Alligator mississippiensis: one gene and its partner. The protein of the gene in region 2 binds, or shares a complex with, the protein of the main gene of each other region. Links are inferred from orthologs where the notes say so. Each region holds a gene or a part of one and is shown on either strand. Other genes may lie near its edges.

What was found.
Region 1: POLR2B (region 2) and GTF2H5 share a complex: the UniProt entries of both Homo sapiens proteins name them as parts of the TBP-based Pol II pre-initiation complex. The link is inferred for Alligator mississippiensis from reciprocal best matches to the Homo sapiens genes POLR2B and GTF2H5.

What each region holds. Positions count from the first base shown.
Region 1 is NC_081824.1:136,361,765-136,373,096, reverse strand, and holds the start of GTF2H5 (general transcription factor IIH subunit 5), read right to left. Parts: upstream 4,969-11,332; 5' UTR 4,870-4,968; intron 622-4,869; 5' UTR 539-621; coding exon 504-538; intron 1-503. UniProt on the Homo sapiens protein: Component of the general transcription and DNA repair factor IIH (TFIIH) core complex, which is involved in general and transcription-coupled nucleotide excision repair (NER) of damaged DNA and, when complexed to CAK, in RNA transcription by RNA polymerase II.
Region 2 is NC_081825.1:140,544,196-140,555,634, forward strand, and holds the start of POLR2B (DNA-directed RNA polymerase II subunit RPB2), read right to left. Parts: upstream 5,527-11,439; 5' UTR 5,415-5,526; coding exon 5,396-5,414; intron 4,550-5,395; coding exon 4,477-4,549; intron 3,967-4,476; coding exon 3,816-3,966; intron 1-3,815. Other genes in the region: NOA1 (nitric oxide-associated protein 1), read left to right, coding at 6,272-7,295. UniProt on the Homo sapiens protein: Catalytic core component of RNA polymerase II (Pol II), a DNA-dependent RNA polymerase which synthesizes mRNA precursors and many functional non-coding RNAs using the four ribonucleoside triphosphates as substrates.

The DNA of each region.
Region 1 (11,332 bases), on a different chromosome or scaffold from region 2:
CAAACAATAATGTATTATTTGCATGCTAATTAAACCCATTTTTCTAGATTACAAGCTACAGTGAAAATTGCATACCACTATGGCTCAAGCAAGATGTCCACTTGGGGAAAGGAGGAGGGGAAGACAAGAAGAAAGGGTAAACAAAGAGCAGAAACGACCCACAGACCCAATGAACAGAATGTATCACCTAGATACAATCAATAGGACAACTAATCACGTCCAGTCTGTATTGTTATTTGCAAAGGGCATTGAGAACAAAAACAGAAAATAAGCAAGTGTAAGGAGAAGGCAAACAGATGGAAAAGCAATGAAAACAATTTGTGTAACCCATGCTTTTCTTTCCCCTTCCCATGATTTTCTTGCATCTGCTTGTTATTCCACATCTTAATTATGATGGCATCCCTGGAGCAGGAACTGAAGTGTTCATGGGTTCTGAAATATTTTAAGCTTTAGTATTACTTCTACTACTAATAAAAGAAAAATAAGTACACCTGACAACTAACCATTCTATAAGAACGCCTTTCAGGACATTCACCATCTTCTCACCACTTTACAAAGGCCAGAAGGGGCAGTCAATGAAGGCAGGTCTGGCTCTGGAATCTGTGTGTGATTGGTGAAAACCTAAACAGACCAAACCAAAGAAGTCAGGCTATAACATTTTCCAAAGGCATATCATGGAAAAAATGCACCTTGGGCAGCTGCCTTTCACCCTCTCCCCACCTCCTCTCCTACCTTCTTAGTTGCAGATGGAAAACAGAACAGAGAGCCAGGCATTTAAAGGTTTGTTTTTTGGGAATTGGCTTACAGGTATGTATATATATCTATATATATATATATCTATGCATTAGAAAGGTTCAAGATAGGCAGCAGGGGTTAACTGATTTCTAAGAGTCTGGGTCACACAATCACACAGCTTTGCAAGCAGACAGGTTGTCTAACACAACAAGGCAAACAAGAACCTATAGTCTGGAAAACAATCTGGGAACAGAGGGATTATGTATTACACTGCCCATAACACGAGTTAAAGAGGCACCAGCTAACAAGGCCCCAGAGCAGGGAAGCCTAGGTCCCGGTTTTGGGGGAACAGATCAAATCAGGAGAAGGCCCGGAAAGCTACGTGGACATTTGACCACAGAGAGAGACCAATCAATGATAGCCATGGATGAAGAGTCATCAGGAGGGAAGGAGAATACAAAAGCAGAGACTTGAGAGTAACAAAGGGTTTCCTCCCCATCCTATCCCAGGTCCTTCCTCCCCGTCTCCCAGGAAGGGTCACCCAGGCCACCATGGACAGAGGGCACACCACCAGCCCGTCTCATCCACCCCACTAGAGATGGGGCATAGGCCTCAGCATCCCACCTCCAGACTGCTGACATAGGACACCTAAGAGAGAGCATCAGAGTGGAGACTGCATCCTGGCTAGATGTACTTTAATGACAGCACTAAGATAAGGCAGATGTATACAATTTCTTGAATGTTGCTCCTAATACTGTGTATCAATAAATTTGCTTATTATCAAATGGAAAGGTTGTGGTCAGTCTTAGGGTGCTCACCCCCAGCCCCCAACCAAGGCCTCTGGGTCTTAAATCCAAAGCCAACAGTGTCATGGAGTGCATGGTGTTCTGGAAATAATAGTTCTTCAGACTGGCAGTGGAGTTTGCTACTCCCAGGAGAAACTTTCAGCCCATTTTTTTGCCTCCAAAGCCTATGTCCAGAGAGCAAGAAAGAAGGCTGAATTTGTCAGCAAAAAAATGGAGATCAGCTCTACAAAACTATAATTCCCATTTCCGGCACTGGCAATGTATGTCAGAGGCAGGAAATGAGGCGGGTAGGCAGCAGAGACAGAGGCAAGCAGTCCTTGTGGGCACAAGTGCCCTGCTTGTCCACTCTATGTTACACTACCGACTTCTCTACTGACCAAAGTGGACATTCAGAGTTTGCACTGGCACATGCCCAGACCATCCTGAGATAAACCATACACACAAAAAGCAAGCAAAGACCTAACTAAATTAAATCCAGCTCACGCTGTTGGCTGAGAACTGCCAGAACCAAAAAAGGGCTGGAGCCTTGCTGGAGCCACAATGATGCTCAGTAAAGATGGGAAAAGCCGGGGTGGTGGCAATTTTTGGTGATCTCTTTTAGTACCCCAACAGGACAGGTAGGAGAGATGTGGCACAAGCTTTAGGGCACAAATGACACCCATCACTAGAAGCTAAATAAGTGTGTGCATGCATGTCTGTCTGCCTGTGAATAGATACATATGCGCGTGTGTGTATTTATCTGAGGATGTATACATACATTCATAGTTTCATAGTAGCTAGGGTCAGGAGGGACCTGAACAGATCATCTAGCCTGACCCCCTGCCACAGGCAGGAATGAATGCTGGGTTCACAAGACCCCAGACAGGTGATCATCCAACCTCCTCTTGAATTTGCCCAAGGTAGGGGCGAGGACCACTTCCCTGGGAAGTTGGTTCCAGATTTTGGCCACCCTAACTGTAAAATATTGCCTTCTGATCTCTAACCTAAACCTATTCTCCATCAGCTTAATACCATTGTTCCTTGTCACCCCAGGTGGTGCTGGAGAGAAAAGTGGTCTGCCTATTTGCTGTTGATCTCCCCTGATGAGCTTGTAGGCAGCCACTAGGTCTCCCCTCAGTATCCTCTTGCTAAGGCTGAACAAGTTCAGGTCCTTCAGTCTCTCCTCATAGGGCCTGCCCTGCTGCTCTCTCACCAAGTGGGTGGCCCTCCTCTGAACCCTCTCCACATCCCTTTTGAAGTGCGGCGCCCAGTACTGGACGCAGTACTCCAACTGCAGCCTGACCAAAGTTGCATAGAGGGGGACTATCACCTCTCTGGACTGGCTTGAGATGCACCTTTGGATGCATGACAAGGTATGGCTGGCCTTGCTGGCTGCGGTCTGGCCTTGTTGGCTGCGGTCTGGCAATGGCCTGTATGTATGCTGTGGATTCCTTCTCCCAAGGTGCAGCACCCTCCATTTGTCTACGTTGAACCCCATCCTATTCTCATCTTCACACTTTCATAGTCTGTCTAAATCTAGTTGCAGCCTCTCTCTCCCTTCAAGTGTGTCCACCTCACCCCACATCTTAGTGTCATCAGCAAATTTGGACAGCGTGCTTTCCACCCCCTCACCTAAGTTGCTGATGAAGATGTTAAACAGTGCCGGCCCAAGGACCAACCCTGGGGTACCCCACTGCTCACATCTCGCCAGGTTGAGTACGACCCATTCACCACTACTCTCTAGGTCCACCCCATCAGCCAATTTTGTACCCATCCAACTGTGCAGGCATCAATGCCACAGTCACTTAATTTATTGATGAGGATGGGGTGAGAGACAGTGTCAAAGGCCTTCTTAAAGTCTAGAAAGACTACGTCCACGGCGACACCATCATCCAAGGATTTCGTTACTTGGTCATAAAAGGCAATCGGGTTGGTCAGGCAGGACCTGCCTTTGATGAACCCATGCTGATTGCCCCTGAGCATGATCTCGCCTGCAGGGCCCCCACAGATGTGCTCCTGGATGATTCTCTCCAAGATCTTCCCGAGCACCAAGGTGAGGCTTACAGGCCTATAGTTACTTGGGTCCTCCTTCCTCCCTTTCTTGAAAATCGGGACCACATTAGCCAGTTTCCAATCCCCCGGCACCTGACCAGATGACCACAAACGCTCATACAGCCAGGCCAAGGGCTCCGTGATGACCCCTGCCAGCTCCCTCAACACCCTTGGGTGGAAGGCATCTGGACCTGCAGATTTTAAAATGTCTAGCCCTTCCAGAAGATCCCTAACTACGTCTGCACTGACTGAAGGCCTGACAGAGCTATCCCCAAGACTGTCCCTACCTCTGGTAGGCGGGATGTTCTGGTCCCTGTTCAAGAAAATAGACGTTGTGCGTCTGTGTTTGTGAATGTACACTTACGCATGTATATCTGTGCTTGTGGATATATACATGCACGCGTGCGCAGAAATGACTCAAGATAGGTGCAGGGCCCTGCCCCCAGACACCAGGAAGCCGACAGCGGATTTGGCGGTGGAGGAGGGGGCGTGGTACCAAGTGGCTAGATGCTGATTCCACGCTGTCGCCGGCTTCACATGGCCGCTCTGCCCGGCTCCGCAGGGTACCCCAAAGCACAGGGCTCGGGGCAATTGCCCCGATTCGCTCCCCACTAGGGACAGCCCTGCATGTATGTGTGCCTGTATATACACGAGGATGTACACCTGTATGTGTGCACATATCTGTCTATACACATGCAGGGCCGTCCCTAGTAGGGGACAAATTGGGGAAACCACCCTGGGCCCCGCAGAGCAGGGAGGAGTGGCCACGGCAACTCCGCACTAACGCTGGCTTCATGTCCGGCCGCTTGGCACCCCCTCCCCCGGAATCTGCTACCCGCTTTCTCGCGTCTGGAGGCAGAGCCCCGCAAAGCCTGATTTGCCCTGTGCCCCGCACCCTGCTCAGATCGTCTCTGTACACATGCATATACAAATGCACATGTGCGTGTGTCTATACATGTGCTTTGACATGCATGGGCCGGCCTGTACATACAGCTATACTCATGCCTGAATGCACGCATGTATCTGTCTACACATATGGCTGCAGATATGCATGTGCCAGTGCATCTGCTTAGGCATGAGGAAACGCAGCAGTGTGCACGCGCATGTCTGCATGTGGCTTGAACGCGTGTCTACTTTTGGGGCTGTACACACGTGTGTACTTAAACCCCTGTGTCGCCAAGAGGACCAGGCCCCTCCGCGCCTGAGAAGCAGGACCGGCGCCGCGCGCCCCTCCCCCCGCGCCCACCACGTGACGGGTGGCGGTTGGGGAGCCTCGCTCTGCCCCTCCCCCACCTACCGGCCGTTGGTTCCGCCGACGACAGTAGAACCCCGGCCGCCGCCTCCGGCGCCCGGTTCCTAAACAGAAAGCAAACTTCCCGTGCAACCCATGCGCATGCGCAACCTCAACGCCCTCCCTCTCCCCACCCACTTCCTCCGCGCTCAGCCCGGGTTCGCAGAGACGCTCTGATGACGTCATCGAACACGTTGACCTGCCGGAAGTAAGGCTGGAAGGAAGGCCGTGCTCAGGGATGCTGCTGCGGCTTGCGGGTCAGGTAAGGCGCGGGCGCGGCTGGAGGGCGGAGCCTGAGGGGAGGGGGAGGAGTCTGGGCAAAGCCCAGGGTTTCCAAGCCCCCCTTTAGGGATGAAACCCGCCCCACCCCATCGCCGAGAATGGACTCTTCCGTGAGTGACGATTTTCTCTGCCTGCGCGAGGCCCCTCCCCCTCCCGGCGCGTAGCTTTGCGTCACGTGTCCCCAGCGTTCTGCGGCCGTTTGAGTTTGTAAACCGCTGCGTATACTCGCCCTGCTTCCTGCTGTATTTCCTCATACTACATGCGCCCAGTATATAAGCAGCCCTTTGCTTTGGGAAGGCATCTTGAACGGGAGCAAAATATATAGTTTGCAGTCTTGGGCTGACTGGGCCCCCCCCTTTGTTTTCCTGCTCGACTCCAGGCTGAAATAGGAGGCGAGCCCAGGAGCAGGCAGAAACCTTGCCCTTGATTAGTGGAGCGTCAAACAGCTGGTAATCCCTGTGGAGTGAAAAGCAATGAGCCATTGGAGCCAATGGCCCTCAGCTGTTGGAAAAGGAGGAGTACTGGCATGGTGATGGAGCTGCAGGCGAAGCGGGGTGCTTTTACACCAAACAGAAAAGTCACTTTACCTGCTAAATACACGTGCCCCAATTTTGAGGGGCTGATTTTTGCAGGAGAAGAGATGCTGTTGAGCCCCAGCTCAAGTCTGGGATTGTGCCCGGTATGCAAAGGCCAATAAAGATACCAGGGGTGAAAGTATAAACAAGATTTATTGCTAGCAATAAAAGGTGCAAGCGGAATAATTTCACAGAACAAGCACACCAGATTTCTAATTCTAAGCCCCTTTTATACAGGGATTTTAGACCTTCATAAGCATCCTTGTTTGCTAATTGGCTATAAAGGAGTGACGCAAGGAGTTCTTTACTGAGCATGTCTCTATACCTGTGTTTTAGCTATGTATCTCATTAACGTACATGTATGTTTCATTAGCATACCTCTTCCCCACCTAGGGGTGTGATTTTTAGTATTTTAATGAGCTCTTTGACCCAGTACTCTGATTCTGCTTTTGTTTTCAAGCCTCCTTTATCTAAGACTGTCTCCTCCTTATCATTGCAGATGGGCATTCGTCACATAACATTCACTTTTGCTTGGGCTTTGCATAGTAGTTTCTAGGTCAAACCTCACAATGCGTTGTAGGGGAGAAAACATGTTAGCTTTCAACATGTTATGGATTCCTTGTAAAAGTACGAAGAGGCCTGGCTTGGGCTTTTTAAATCCCCTTAGACACTTCAGAAGTCAGAGCGGACAGGGCGCTCCTCCTCTTTTGGGCTGCTGCCTTGTGAGCAAGTTCAGCCTGAGATGAATGTAGCCCTGTGCCGCTTGTGTGGTGCTGTCATTTCCAGGTCCCCGATGTCAGTGGAAGGCTGGCATGGTCCTCGACTGCTCTGGAGAGTACGAGGTCAGGATAACGACACGAGACACCCTAAATTTTAACCGCTGTCTGAATCCACTGGTGGAAAAAATGCAGTATGTTAACAAGGCAAGGTTCTTTTGAGTAGATGTGTTATCTTTTATTAGACCGAGTAGTTCGAAAAAAGTTTTTAGCAAGCTTTCAGACTAGCTAAGAACTAGAAAATCATATGCCTTAAGAAGGGTGATTGCCCCCAAATGCTTTCTAAGAACTTTTTTCCAACTACTCAGTTGGTCTAATAAAAGATATCACATCTACTCAAAAAACCTTATGTGCCTATGTCCTTAGACCTACACAACTACAACCAAAAATTCAGCATGCTAACAATGCTTCTTGCAGGTGGAGGCAGACCTGGTCTCCTGTCCAGATTAACCAACCCATTCCCGTCCTCCTGGATTTCCATGCAGTGTTGCTCCTCAGGGGCCCAATCCAAAGACCATTAATTGCAGAGAAACACTAGTTGCTTTGTCTTTGTGTTTCCAAATGGACCATGTGAGCAGTGTAGGGAATTGTAGTGGCTTCTGTCACACAGTCACAGATCCACTGTGCTTGCTGCAACTACACTCTGTGATTAAGTGGTGTATAAAAAAAAAAACTTTCTGAAGTTAGGATTGGACCATTAACTGAAACGGTTCTCTAGAGATGAAAGGAAAGGCAACTGCTTTCATGCTGCAGTGCATATTTTTTCTTAACTGCTCAAGTAGTGTGTTTTAAGCCTTTGGTTATTATGAATGTATGAAGGAAGGTGAAGAAACTGTCTTTGGTTTGGGTGCTGCTTTTTCTTTATTTATTTTAAACAAAAGAAAATGGAAAGCAAAAGTCCCTCAAAGGGACCAGTTATTGACATGGTCAGCATTTTTCCTTGTGTTGTGTCCCTTTGTGGAGGAAGATGGGTGGTAAGAAGTGCATCATGTTGCTGAAATAGTAACCATTGCTAGCAAGCTGTCTACAGTAGCACCAAATCTGTTTTAGTCGTCTTTGGAGGAAGTGATCCTGATACCATAGAATTATTTTAAAGAAAGGAAGGAAGGAGAGCAGCAAAATAAGGATGCTGGACTTCCAAAAGGTTCATTTGAACCATGTTTTAGAAATAGTAGGTAAGCTACAATGAATAGGCAAATTAAAAGAAAAAGGACATAATTTTAATAGTCTCAGCATCAGACTATTCCCATGAAAAAAGAAGATAACAAGCACCATAAGAGACCAATGTTGCTGCATTGGCTGCCATGGTAGATCTAAACTGATGCATACCAGCAATGGGAAGAAAAGCATGCATCTGTAGAGGTGGACAGATAATGACAAACATGGGAAAAGTGAAGGCAAAAAATCGCCAAAGGTTTCCAACAACTGGCAAGAAATGTTAAAGACAACAAGAGAGATTTCTACACATACATCAGACAAGGAAAAACTAAAAAAGAGAGACCAAGAAGCCTGTGGGTCTATTACTCAAAGAATGTAAACTATTAATGGAAATTTCAAAGAAGGTGGAACTGTCCAATGCCTTCACAAGAGAAAAAACAAACAAAAAACCCCCACTCCAAAAACAACCAACCCAAAGAAAAAATAGCAGAATTAATATAATAAATGAACAGGAAGGATGCCGGTCATGTTAAGCAAATAATATAGTAGAGAATTTTTGACTAATCTGAATTTAAGTCAGGAGGCTGTGCAGTATTCAACCAAGGGTACTGAAGGATCTCACTGAAAAAAATCTCAGAGCTACAGGCAATAATAGATGAAGATCATGGATGGCAGGCAAGGTCCCAGACAACTGGTAAGGCTTACATACTGTACTACCCATTTTTAAAAGGGGAAAGAGAAGGACCCAGCAAGGTATAAGATCAGTCAGCCTGACATCAGTGCCAAGGAAGTTACTAACAGGTTGACTGTTTTATGCACATATTGATCACTGACAGATGACATGGATTTGTTAAGAGCAAATCATGCCAAATCTTTGCTCCTTTTACAGGATAACTTGATTTGGATCATAAGGTAAAAATGGTGATTGTAAATATTTGGACTTCAGTCCTACATGCCAGTCTTGTAAGTAACCTGGAAAAGTATGTCCTAGATCAGAGGTTCCCAACCACTGGACTGTGGCCCGGTACTGGGCTGCGAAGGATTGGCTGCCGAGTCGTGACTCCCATTTGTCTACCCAGGCAAGTGGCTTCTGCTGGCAGTCACGTGCAGGGATAAAGCTCGGCAACGGGGAAGCCTGGGAGGGAGGCAGCCAGCTCCATGCGTCCCATCCCACCCCCGCTGGTCTGCTGTATAGAAAAGGTTGGGAACCACTGTCCTAGACATAATTACCATGCATGCTAGTATTCATAGTATCATAAAAAGTTAGAGTTGGAAGGGATCTCAGAAGGTCATCTGCTCCAATTCCCTGCTCAAAGCAGGACCATCCTCACTTATATCATCCTAGCCAAGGCTTTGTCTAGCCAAGTCTTCAAAACCTTCAAGGATGGAGACTCCACCATGTCTCTGGATAATCTGTTCCAGTGCTTTGCTACCCTCCTTGTGAGAGAGTTTTTCCTAACATCTCACCTAAACTTTCCTTGCTGAAACTTGAGACCATTGCTGTTTGTTCTGTCATCTGCCACTACTGAGAATAATCTAGCTCTATCCTCTTTGGAGCTACCCTTTAGGTAGTTGAAGGCTGGTATTAAATCCCCCATCAGTCTTTTCCAGACTAAATAAGCCCAGTTCCCTCAGCCTGTCCTTATAAGTCATGTGCCCCAGCCTCCTCACTGTTTTTTATTTTTTGCCCTCCACTGGGCTCTCCAATTTGTCTACATCCTTTCTGTAGTGGGGGGCCCAAAACTGGACACACTACTCCAGATGTGGTCTCACAAGTGCCCAATAGAACGGACTACTCACTTTCCTCAATCTACTGGCAACACTCCTACCAATGCAGCCCATTATGCTGTTAGCTTTTTTTGTAACAAGGGCACACTGTTGGCTCATATTCAGCTTATTGTCTGCTATAGCCCTCAAGTCCTTTTCTGCAGAGCTGCCGCTTAGCCAGTTAGTCCCCAGCCTGTACCAGTGCGTAGGATTATTCTAAGTGCAGAACTTTGTACCTGCCGTTACTGAACCTCATGAGTTTTCTTTTGGCTTAGTCCTCCAATTTCTCAAGTTCTCTCTAAATCCTAGCCCTACCCTCCAATGTATCTTCCACTCCCCCGTTTGGTGTCATCTGTAAGATTGCTGAAGTCGCCCTTGATCCCATCATCCAGGTCACTGATGAAGATACTGAACAAAACCGGCCCTAGGACCAACCCCTGGGGCACTCCACATGATACTGGCTGCCAACTAGACATAGAGCTGTTGATTACTACTCCCTGAGTCCAATGATCCAGCCAGTTTTCTATCCATCTTACAGTCTATTCATCCAGCCTATACTTCCTTAGCTTGCCTGCGAGAATGTTGTGGGAAAACATATCAAAAGCCTTGCTGAAGTCAAGGATATCACATTAACTGCTCTTCCCGCCTCCATAGAGCCAGTCACCTCATCATAGGAGGCAATCAGGTTGGTCAGGCATGATTTGCTCTTGGTGAACCTATGCCGACTGTCCCTAATCGCCACCGTCTCCTTCAGATTGTCATTTTGAGTTGTAGTTTTTGTAATATGGTGTCTTAATTTTACTTAAAGTATACTTGTATCTTCCCACCATATTTATATATTTGTTAAATATATGACATGGCTGAAGTGACTTGAGTTTTATAACTAATCTAATGTCTTAAATGAATTGATAATGAAGCCTATGTAACTTATTCAGTGCAAGTATCTGATGATATTGTTGCATCAGAAAAATAATACTTCCATATTATTACTGCAGCACACACAGGGGCATATTTATACTTTTTTGTCTTTGTTTCTATTTTAAGATTATCATCAACATGTATTATCAATGTATCAATAGTTAAAGCCTACCTAAAATATTCTCTTACAGTCCATCCTTCTACCAGAAAAAATGTATTCAAAATATGCTGGAAACACTTTAAGCATGTTTTAAGATTTGCCATAAAGCACTCAGTGTAATATATAAAATGTGATTACTGTTACAGTAAAAAAAAAAAAAAAAAAATAGGGGTGTGTTTCCATTACTTGATGATGGCATCTTTTCATATGTTGTTCATGCAGGAGTTCATGCCTGGTTATAATTCAAATTGTACATGTTATGTTAAGGCATGCAATGAGTGATGGTCACTTACCCTACAAACATTCCTACCCTTCTGAGCAGCTCAGAAGACAAGTTGTGTGATGCAGTCATAGATCCTTCTTTGGTTTCCCCTTTCTTCAAGCAAAAAAGTAATCTGCATTAGCCCTGTCCCATGCGCGGAATAAGTCTCCCTATGTGTCAGAGCAGTCAAGGTGCGCTCTCCTTTCCTCTTCACTGTGACCTGCCTTCTTGTTAACGCAGAGCACGTCTACACATGCACTTTAATACACAGTAGACTATTTTACTGCGCATTAAGGCATCATGTAAAAAACTATGACATTATGCTAATGAGTATTAAAATAGTCTACTGCGCACTATAGTGTCACTAAAAAGGTGTGCAAATGCGCTACTGCACCTAATGTACATTAATTTAGAACCTCACATTGGAGGTACTACATTTAATGCACATTAGAAAAGATGCATTAATGCACGTGTGGACATGCCCATAGTCGAGCAATGGTTCTGCATACATGAGAAAAGAGATTCAGTTAGGCTCTTGATTTCCAAAATTCAGGCTTTCACAAATAAGCAT
Region 2 (11,439 bases):
CTGTGGTGTCTGGCAGGGATTACCTCCGCCTCCTCCCCTCCCTGTCAAAGGCCCTGGGGAGTGGCTCCCAGCAGCAGTTGTGTCCCTGCGCGACTCTAGACAGATGGCTGCAGCCCGATGGCAAGGTGGGGTGGCACAGGCACTGACCCAGGGCTCTGCACCCCACAGCCAGGACTAGGTATGTTATCGGTTAACCGTTTAAGCTATATCTTTAAAGGAGGTTAAAAAGTTATTTTTTTTAAATCAATATTTACATCCCTACCTTAGAGGTCATCCTCATCTCTAGATTCTGCTTATGGATAAGTATACATTTGCTAAATGATATATTTTACTGCCTGGTACTGTACAATGAAATCACATAATTAATTCTTGGAAACAAAATAATTTCCTAAAGAGTATCCACGTTTATTGGACCAGAAAGGAAACAAAGTTTAAAAATCTGAGCTGCAGCACACAGTATCGTGAATTCTACCACTGCTCGACCAGCTGCAAAAAATTCCAACTCAAAAGCAAAATTCCTGGGATTCCTCAACACCACAAAGCCAGTAATATTCTAATCATACTTGTATTCTTCTTCTAGGGCTTATCACTTCAGCATCTGAGGACACTACATACTGTCGAGTTTGGACAAAAATTTGAAACACCCTAACATCTTGCAGGCAAGGACAGCGACACATTAGGAGTGAGGTCAGAGTGACAAAACTCCAAGGGGTTTCCTCTATGCAGCAGCATCCTCTTCCAATTTCCTCTCCGTATAAAGCTCTCATATGAACTATCCTACCTATTTAATACTAAGATATAGCAGTTTCTTAGGAAGAGAAATAGGGGGGGGGGGGAACAGCTTTCAAAAAGGTGTAAGCTGTTCTTCATGCCTAAAGTAACAACTCTCCTTATTAGTTTGCCCATGCCAAAGTCAGATGTGTATTCAACTGACCTGGGAATACAGACAAGGCAGAAAGACGCTGTTCCAAATATGTTAAGTACTGTATTTAAAATCATGACCTTTCAGGTTTCACATTGTGACCATCCGTTTCAAAAATGATTTGACAGTTTCTAAGTCTGTTAAATGCAAATGTCTATTAAACAACAGAATGTAATGATTCTTTTAAACGTATATCTTGTTCACATTGATTTGCTATAGCTCAACAGTAGCAAATTTATGAATGAAAAAGATTTATATTCCAATTCTTACTAATTGATACAATTTTCCTTTTGGAAAAAGGTATCTGTATAATACACATCCCAATCATATTTAAAGGCTTTGCTTTCCACAGAAGTCTTTACCTGTTACTCTGAATGAAAGTATGAGAAAATACGTCTTTCAGCAATTAAAATTTTTCGAAAATCATTCTACTGTAGTTTTATTTTAAACCTCATAGAAATAAGATCCTGAAGCAATACATTCCTTTTACCTCAACTGAGAGTCATGTTTCTCAAATAAAGCTCCAGTTGTTCAAAGACAATATCATCAACCTCCACATTAAGTTAGGACAATTGTTGCTTGGATTAATTTATCTTTGATTAGTCAACTAATTCTTCGAGATGTTCTGTCTATATAGACCTCACTCATGGTGAACGTACAACTAGCCACAAGAAATTGTTAGATGCGACACATACTGCATGCCCTCAAGATCACCACTCTTCAGACACAAAGATTGGGCCAATAATCGCCACTCAGCTTCTTTCTAGATTAGAATGCAGAAGACAAGCTTTGGAGGATTTTCACGTATAAAACATCCCAAAGAATGAGTTACTGAAGAAAAAGTTGTTTCGTACAAGTGTCCATGTGGCCCCATTGCCAGACACACACTTTATTAATTACGCTAGGGGCAGCAGAAAGGGTTAAGTCAGGGTGCCAAAAACACCCACAACCTGGATTTACAAGATGTTGGCGTGCCGAAGCAGACAGCAGGGGAACCATGAAGGGCCTAATCCTTATTGTGGCAGTGCGGCCCCAGCTGATCTTCCCTGCCACCCATCCCGAGGCATGCATGCACCTGCCGCCTGCAACTAGCTGTGTCTGGCTCCACAGACCCTGATATAGCTGCTTACAGCCTCCAGGCTGCCTGCCAAAGCCAACCCAGGCTCTGGGGAGGCCCTTGCCACCTACCGTAGAGCCCCAGCTGCTTGCAGCAGATGGCAAGGAGGCTGCAAGCAGCTGCACAGGAGTCCACAGAGCCCTAGCCCAGCTTGGTGCTGGCAGTGGATGCATGTGTGCCTTGGGGCTGACAGCAGGGATGGGATTGGGGCTGCACTGCCACAACAAGGATTCGGCCTCTCATGGCTCCCCCACCATCCGCCCAGAGGTGTTCATGCCGACCAAAATGGCTTCACATGCCACACAATGGCACACATGCCAGGGGTTGCCTACCCCTGGTCTAAGTGGAGCATTTTGAAACTCAGTAATGATTTTCAGATGCCAGGAACTGAAGGCTGATGTACTTCCTGTGCAGTGGATTCACTGACATATGAAAATTGGTTATGCAAGTCAAGCATAACCAACACAAAGGATCACTGTGAGGAATCTGGTGAGATATGGTGAGCAATACTGGGCTAAGGTATAATCCCCCTGTCTTTTCTGGTAGCACACCCTAATTCCATTTTTAAAGTGGTATTGTATTTACATATGAATACACCCACTTAACTGTGGGTATTTTTTCCTGAGAAACAAAATTGCACTCCTTGGGTATCACTAGAACTTGCAGGGGGTTGGACCAGATGATCTCCTGAGGTTCCTTCCAACCCTAATTTTCTGATTCTATAACTTTTCTGTAGCAGTACGCAGGGCAAAATGTAAATGCAGAGGAGCCAAGCCACTTGCCTTTGGTAGCAAACCCAAAGGCTGTTTAGCTTCACAGGCTTAAAACTAGGACTGCCCCTCTACATAATATTACAGCTTACTCTGCTACACCAGAAAATGCTTTGGCAGCATTCTATGACAGATTTCCAATAGCTGAACTATTTAAGGCAGTTAACAGTGGCTCAATTTAAACGTCACTAACTAACCTCTGGTGTCAGCTTTCTAGGTCAAACGCTTAGCTTGATTTGCCAGTTCCAAAGTCTTTACTTAAATGAGCTTTTAGCTACCATGAGTGGGATCCACATGTACACATACAAAACCTCTTGCTATCTGTTTTAACATCCTTTGCAACATCTAACTCAAACTGACTTTGGCAATTTGTAATTTATCCCTATAGCACTTAACCTTTAAGAGAAAACCGTCTTTACTAATTAGATCTTGTTTCTGTTCCTCATAGGCTCTCTACTCACAGGGAAATTGAGACACACCTCACCTAAGAGGAAAAGGAAGTTTGATTGGCTTGCTCGATTTAGCAAAACAGCAGTCTGATTCCCATTCAGCCTTCATCTAACAATACTAACCTACAAGAACACACGGGTATAAATTATCCGTAAATAAGTGTAAGCTGTTAATTAGAAGGTTCCTAACCAACAGAATATTGAGATTCTGGACCAGCCTTTCAATCTTACGTTTGATTACTTGCTCATTCTAACTGTCCTCTGTCAATAACATATTTCCTTGCAATTGTATGACATCGCAGTAACTGAGAGCCTGCTGCTACAGCCATTTAACTGTATTCTTGGTCTTCTGATGAAAGAAAAAAAGAAGTAGCAGGACACAGTAACTTTCCAAGTGGCAGGAGACTTTATGCACTGCAGAAATACACAGTTAAAAGATGAAACAGAACTAGCATTTCCATTCTTGTGAAACAAGAGTAATATCAGCTGATTGAGGTAAATACTATTTTAGTCAGTACACCTGAAAAACAATGAGACTCTACAAGGTCTCCTCTTACCGGCTCTTCCACTTCTCCTGTAGCATGCTGAGCTTCAGCTTGTAGATCAATAGGCGGTGCATCTTCAACAATTCTCTGTACAGACATCTGGATGAACTCATCAAAAGAATCCAGCTGCTGTCGGACCAAGCCCTTCTCATCAAAGTAGGAGCTTAGGGGAAAAAACAATGTACATTCAGTTACTGAACAAGAATTTTTATTTTTTTTAAACAAAATATGATACTTTGGAAGCCATGTTTAAAAATCCACAAAATATGTACTGTCTCTTCAAAACCAATCACTGAAATATGAAATGAATTTGTTTATTTTCTTCTCCTAACAGAGTATTCAAATATGGCCCTTCCAAGAGGAATTGCCAGGACACAGAACAGGATCTAACATGTAAACTAAGTGTATCCTAAGGAAAAAAAACTGCACCGAGTTCCCACAACTATCTTCCCCATTAACCAGACACAGAATTGCAAAACAACTAATCTTTGGCAATTTACACATAAAGCAGCTGTGTACCGCTTTTCAGCTGGTCTTGTATTCTTAAAGTGACAGCATTTATGATTCTAGACGCAGTTCTGGAATTTCCATCTAATTCCAGATGAAATGTATCATATCAGAAGGTCAACCTCAACTACTACCAAAATGCCTTATTTAAGTTTCAGAAAGTTACCTAATAACAATCCAGCATGCTTCTTGCCACAAGTCAGGAGTGATTTCATCATCGTCTTCATCATATTGCATATCTGACAAGAACGCAAAACACTGAAATCAGACTAAGAATTATCATGTGTCCATACACTGGATATCCATTAGCAGAAAAAAAAACTTATTTACATACAGCTTTCCAATGAACTTAATACAACAGGCAAGGCTACATTGCCCTGTATTTCAAATTGAATACAGAAGTCTTTATTCGTCCATTGGTCCTTAATAGAAAGGAGGAAAAGGCAATGGTATGGTGAATACCAGTAAAAGGTGAATACCAGCAAGTCAGTCTGAACTCAATGCAAAGACTGAGGGAAGGGGCTGGAGGCTCCCTGCTTCTGATAGCTAGGATGCCCCTTCAGGGGCCCACATCCAAGAAAAACAATGCCCGCCCTGGCAACCCACTCAACATCACCAGCTCTCCACCTTTTGGCATTTCTTTCTTCCGATGCCACAGCCCCTCAGAAAACACTGGCTCCTCGCTGCCACTGATTCTTGACCAGGGGAAAAAACACTAGGCCAGTCCTGTGTGACCCCGACTTGCAGGAGCAACCCCATCCCCAGGCGGCTTTGGATGGTGGGGAGCCCCTATTGCATCTGGCACACTACATGTGGCAGCTCCCTGAAGCGAAGCAGTGTCAGCTCTGCTCTACTCCTGTTTGGCAGGCTGCCCTTTGAAAGCCTTGAAGGTGCACGAGTTCCAACCTCCCCCCAGAAGTCGCTGCGTTCTGCACAGGTTTGCGGGCGCACGATGCGCCAGGGGAGGGGAGGGGGGGCGCAGAGCAAACCCACGTTCTCTTCCCCGCCCCGGAACGGAACAGGCCTCCCCCCGACTGAGGCAAGAGTGGGCCCCGGTGCTCCCCCCGCCCGCGCGGCGCACTCACCCTCGTCCGCGTCGTACATGGCGGCGGTTGGGGCGAGGGGACAGCTCGGAACAAGACAAGCAAAGAAAGCAGCGGCGCGCCACCGGCTCCCCAGACAGCCGAGCAGGGAGTGCGCATGCGCTGGGAGCACTGCGGCTGCGCCAATTCCCCGGTCGCAGTTCCGCGGGCTACGTTACGTCCTTGCGTTACTTCCGGGTCGGTACTACGGCTGAGCAAGAAACCGAGCCTTTGAGCTCCGCCCACCAGAGAGAAACGGGAAGGGGAAAGCTTTGGTATGCGCGCATGCGCTGTGCTCACTTTCCGCGCCGATTAGCGCGTACCACTCTTTATGAAGGAGAAGGGGGGTGTAAATTTGGGCCGAGCCACCCGGAGTCCTGCAGGCAGAGCAGCCTCGGGTGGGGAGCTCCCCGAGGGTGCACTGTTGGGGCTCCTCTTGCCCCGCCTGCTGCTCCACTAGGTACGTCTGTCGGCGGGGGCTCCGCTGTGACTCCCTGCGAGCTCCTTCCGGCGTGTGCATCCCCCTGCATCTCTGGCTGCAGACCTGTGCGCTCTGCCTCTGCCAGCCGGGAGACACTCGGGATTCCCATCTGAAACCTGCGCCTTTGTCCCGAATGTTGGGGACACTCGGGATTCCAACTTGGAACCTCCACCTTTACTGTGTGCCAGGCAGGGCAGGCGGCGGGGAATCAGCGCCCCCAAAGGCGGCTTCAGCCGCTGCGGAACTTTCCCCCCGCGGGAGCTGGGCGCCCAGCCCAGCCCGGGGCACAGAGCCCGTGGCCCGCCCCCAAGCGGCTCCGCCCCGCCTCGCCCCGCCCCGCCCCGCCCCGCGCTGCGTGCTCCGGGCTCCCCACGCGGGTGGCAGCTACCGCCGCGGCCATGCACCGCCTTTGCCTGCGCCGCTTGCTGGTGGCTGGGGCCCAGGCCCGGGCCCGAGCTCTTGGCACCCCGTTCAAACTGCGGCCCGGGCTGCGCTGCCAGCCACTGCCTGCTGGGCTGGCCTCCGTGCCGTGGGACCTCCTGGGGCCTGGCAGCAACGAGGAGGAACTTTTCGTGTTCCCAGAGTACCTGCCGGAGGAACTGGAGAAGCCATGGGGCACTGAGGTGGTGCCGAAAAAGCCCCCCCGGGAGAGGCGGTGCCAGGAGCGGAGGCAGCACAGGCCAAAGGGGCAGCCAGATCCATCCATGCCAACCAGCAGTGTGAGCTGCTCGGGCTGCGGGGCAGAGCTGCACTGCCAGGACCCTGCCATGCCAGGCTACATGCCCAGTGAGAAATACCTCTCCCTGCTGGGGGAGCCTGAGGGCCAGGGAGGGCTGCGGGGTGCCGTGTGCCAGCGCTGCTGGCTCCTGGTACATCACCAGCAGGCACTGCGCCTGGAGGTGTCACGGGACCAGTACCGCAGCCTGGTGAGCACCGCCCTGCGCCAGCTGCCCCGCCACGGCCGTGCCCCACTGGTGCTCTACGTGGCCGATGTGCTGGACCTGCCTGACACGCTGCTGCCCGACCTACCCGAGCTGCTGGGCCCCACCATCAACATAATGGTCCTGGGCAACAAGGTAGACCTGCTGCCTCCAGACTCACATGATTACCTGAAGCGCTTTCGAAAGCAGCTGCTGCTTAACTGTGCCCAGGCGGGCATCCACCCTGTCACCAAAGGCATCAGGGGTTCAGCAGGCAGGCAGCACCTGGTGGACATTCACCTGATCAGCGCCAAGACGGGCTATGGGGTGGAGGAGCTGATCTCCAAGCTGCAGGGCTCCTGGAAGTGCAATGGGGATGTGTATCTTGTGGGTGCCACCAACTCGGGCAAGTCCACCCTCTTCAACACCCTGCTCCAGTCCGACTACTGCAAATCCAGAGCCTCAGAAGTGGTCAACAGAGCCACCGTCTCGCCCTGGCCAGGTCAGAGCTGGGGACTTGTGTCTGTTGTCCCATTGTGCTGCAAGCCCTTCTGGGCCAAGTTGTCTTTGGGTTTTATTTTCTATTTGTTTTGTTGTTACTTGCCTCCCTGAACCAATGGTGGATGTGTTGGAGGGTATGATGGGACAGGTCACTCTAGATATACCCTGTTCAGCTCTCTCCTAAAGCAGGGGTGTCAAACTTGTAGGGCCCCACAGGGTAGATGAGCATACCTGAGCTATTCTATGGGCCAGGCTGGGACCAACCCCCTGTGGAGTGGCTGTAGCACCAGATCCAGCCCCATACAACATGCGCTGGCCACTGGGGCTGAATTGTGGCACATGCTGAAGGAAGCATGGGAGGTTGGTTTGGGGTGCTGCACGCAGCCTGTGTCTCAGGCCCCCTGTGCTGCATGCAGTATTAGGTCCAGCCCACCTGCCATGGGCAGCACACACCCTATGCTAGCCCCAGGGCTGCATGCACAGCAAGCCTCAGGGCTACTATATGCTGCACACAGCACTGGACCAGCCATGAATGCTGTATGTAGCATGGGGTTGGTACAGGGAACACTCTCTATGTGATGTCCTGTTGACTGGCCTTGCATGCTGAGTCCAGGTCTAGAAGGGCGTTGTATGGAGTGCATCTCCCAAGCCGGCCCCCTGTGCCACGTGCAGCCTGCATGGCTGGTCCAACCCGGAGTGCCATATGCAACATGTGTTGGCCCTGGGACTTGTGCACAGGGCCCCCAGGACCAGCACATGGCACACGCTGTCTGCAGAGCACAGGCAGGATCCCAAGGGTCTGAGGCATGGGCTGCATGTAGTGCCATGGACTGACCCCCTGTGCTGCCCCCAGCACACATGGTATGGAGTCTAGCCTGCACACCACATGCAGCCTGCAGGGTTGGGGCCAGCACGTAGGATTGGTCCAGAGACCCAGTTTGTTCGACACAAGTGCTCTAAAGCATCCACTCCTGTCACTGTCAGAGATATGCTACTGGGTTAGATGGACCACTGGTCTGACCCAGTGTGCTAATAACTTATGTTGAAGGCCCAGTCACCTACCAGGACCCCATTGTGCAAGATGCTGCACAAACTCAGAACATAAAGAAAGCCCAATAATATGGCCCAGCTCATGGCCTGTCTTTTATCCTGACTCTCCTTAGGTTTGTCTCCTATTATGTGGTTTGTTTGTTTTTTGCAAATGGACCCCTTCCTTGTACAGTGCACAGGAAGGAAAACAGTGCTGCAAGGGTTGTGTAGTAGTGATGCAGGTGGCTGTGTGATTTCTGGGTCCCTTGTTTTAGAAATTGGAAGGTATCCAGTTAGTGAAACAGAAGAAAAGGAACGGCTTAGTGGTTCTGGCAGTTGAAAACTGGATCCCATCTAAAGACTTCCTCTGTGATACTAGTACTGATACTTAAACCAAAATGTACACTGTTGAACACTAATCATGCATCACTCCTGGTTGAGTTACCAGGACCTTGATATGCAGAACTGTTGGGCACTCACCTTAGTTAGCTATAACTTTGCATGGAAAGTGTTACATAATTCTACAAACTGAAAAAAGCTGGACCCATCTCAAAGTAGACATCCAGAGTATTAGACACTTGGTTACTTGTCCTTCATCTCTGCCTCAGATTCTGATCTGTAAATTGGAAATAATACTACTCTCTTTTTTTTTTTCACAGAGTTGTTGTGAAGATAGATTCACAAATGTTTGCAAACTACCTTTGGAAGTGCCCAAGAGAAAATGTGTAATTCTGTGTTCAGTGCAGGCTTTAGATGCTGTGTAATAAATAAAGGTTACAGCTGCACAAGTAACCAAAGAAACATACAGCTACCCATTCAGTGGGTATCATTTAACATGGACAGTGAATGAGGCAAGGGATCAATGCAAAAAACAGGATGTGATAGATAATTAAAGATTATGATGTACTGCATACACACTGGGGAATGAATTAAGGTTGCACAAGAAACCTTAATTCTGGCACTTCCTAATATTTTAGTGTTCCTGGCCTGTCATTCAGTATTTGATCTCTCCCTGTCCTGTCCCTTTTTACCTGTGTGCGTGTGTCTGACTTACACTGCTGAAGGCAGAGGGTGGAGATGCACCCTATAGACTTAACTAAATCAGAGATGTATAAGCTTTAGTAAGATGCCTGCGACTTATTACAGGAGTTTTTGCTGAAGAGCCTTGTCTGAGATTGGGTTACAGACTTACATGAAATGCTGCCTGCTTATGTGAAGCTTTCAGCTTCTCCAGAAATTCACAAGAAAAGATTCTGTACTTTGCAGCTCCCACGCCGAGCAGTCAGCACCTCCTGCATCTCCAGGAATTCTTCATATGCACTCCTCTCCCAGGCAGTGTCACCGGAGCCCCCATCTCCCTCATTCCAGGACTTCATGGGCAGCAGCACTTGAGGATCCATCACCACCACTTTTTCCTTTCCCAGGCCTGCTGTGGCATGGAAGGGTAGGGAGGGAAGAAGGATGACCTGTAGAGCTTTAGAAATGGAGTATTCTATTTAACTTTTAAGCCTGGTAGTTTTAAGTCAGGATAGAGACCCTTAAATGTATATCTGGTCCTTTAGTGATGTCGATTTGTTGGCATTGGCCTAGACTTGAGCATATTATATATAACTTTGCCAAACACATGATACTAAGTCTACTTGGGGGAAAGCAATATGTTTGCCTGCATTATCCAACAGTAAGCAGTGTGCTTTGAAACGGAGGTCCCCCACTTTTGATTTTGTTACAGAGTGGATTTGGCCCTTGTGAAGAAAAATATTCTGATGTCTTAGGTAGGGTGGGAGCTCAGGCACTTTATATAGGGTAAATGAGAGAGGCACAGACGTGACTCTGCAAACTCAGCAGTTTGTCTCATGTCTACTTATTCCTGGTGAGAAGATAGTTCTGTTCTTAGGCTCATTCAGACCTTTGCCTTCATGCTAAGAGCCTCATCAGTGATTTCAGAGACCAGACCTTGGCAGGGAATACTGTTTTCATTTCAGAGGCTACTGGTTTGCTATCCAACTGTCATATCTTGGTCAGTGTTATTTACCTTCAAAAATGTTGACCTACCCTCCCCCCCAGCTTTTTCCAAAATGTCACTTTGCAATTTTATTTTAATACGTGTTAATATATGTGACTGTCTACGCTGGGATTTTAAAATGTGTTGGCTAATGAATATAAAAAAAAAAAAATCAGTCTCAACAAAACTACAGTGCTTTACAGAAAAAAGTAACTGGAAGCAAAATGCGAGTTTCTTAAGTAATGTCACATTTTACTTTTTATAAACTTGATCCATTACTTATTCAAAAATCTTTATAAGCCATTTTGGAAAAATAAATACCCATAAATAATAATTATGATAATAGCAGGAGAAGTAAGCTTTTAATGGTGAAATAAACATCGTAGAATTCTGCCTTTTTTGGTTTTTTTTTGCATTTGTACCATGGTCCCACACACAGGCAATTCTTCCTGCTAAAATGTCAGGTTCTTGGGTGCTATCTCTGTATGACATGCACCAGAGTGCGAAAGGGTTCAAAACTAATCTGGAGTTCTAGGATTCCCTTTCTTCTAGTCCCACTAACACATTCCTGCACTAATAACAGAAGTCAACACAGAATTTGTTGAAGCCACAGTAGTTGTTGCAGAGAGATGTGTGTGCAACTCTCACCTGTCATTTTTCAATGAGATTTGTTTTATAGCCAGCTCTTCAACAGCTCTTGTCCCTAAAAATCCACAAGAGTTTTGGTTTGACTTAAAGTTTGGTTCGTAGTGGCCTTGTCTACACTACGCAAATTTATTATTTCTGAAGATGGCTTCTAGCAATCACATTAAGTGACTTGGTACTAAATATGTTTTGGCAGCATTTAATCATGGTGAGCTAATATGATGGTAACTGAAGAGCATCATCTGTCTGTGCTGTTTGCTAACAGTCCAACTAATATGATTGCTGAAAACTTCCTTCAAACACAGTGAAATTTCACTGAGCTGATCCTGGCCAGTGTGACTGGTCATTTCTGAGCACAGCTATTAGCTGTTCTGTTAGCTGACTTTAACTTTCTCATTGTATGCCTGTTCCTTTTTGTGCAGAAAATTGAAGCAGTTATATAACCTGCAAACATTTATGGTTAGGAAGC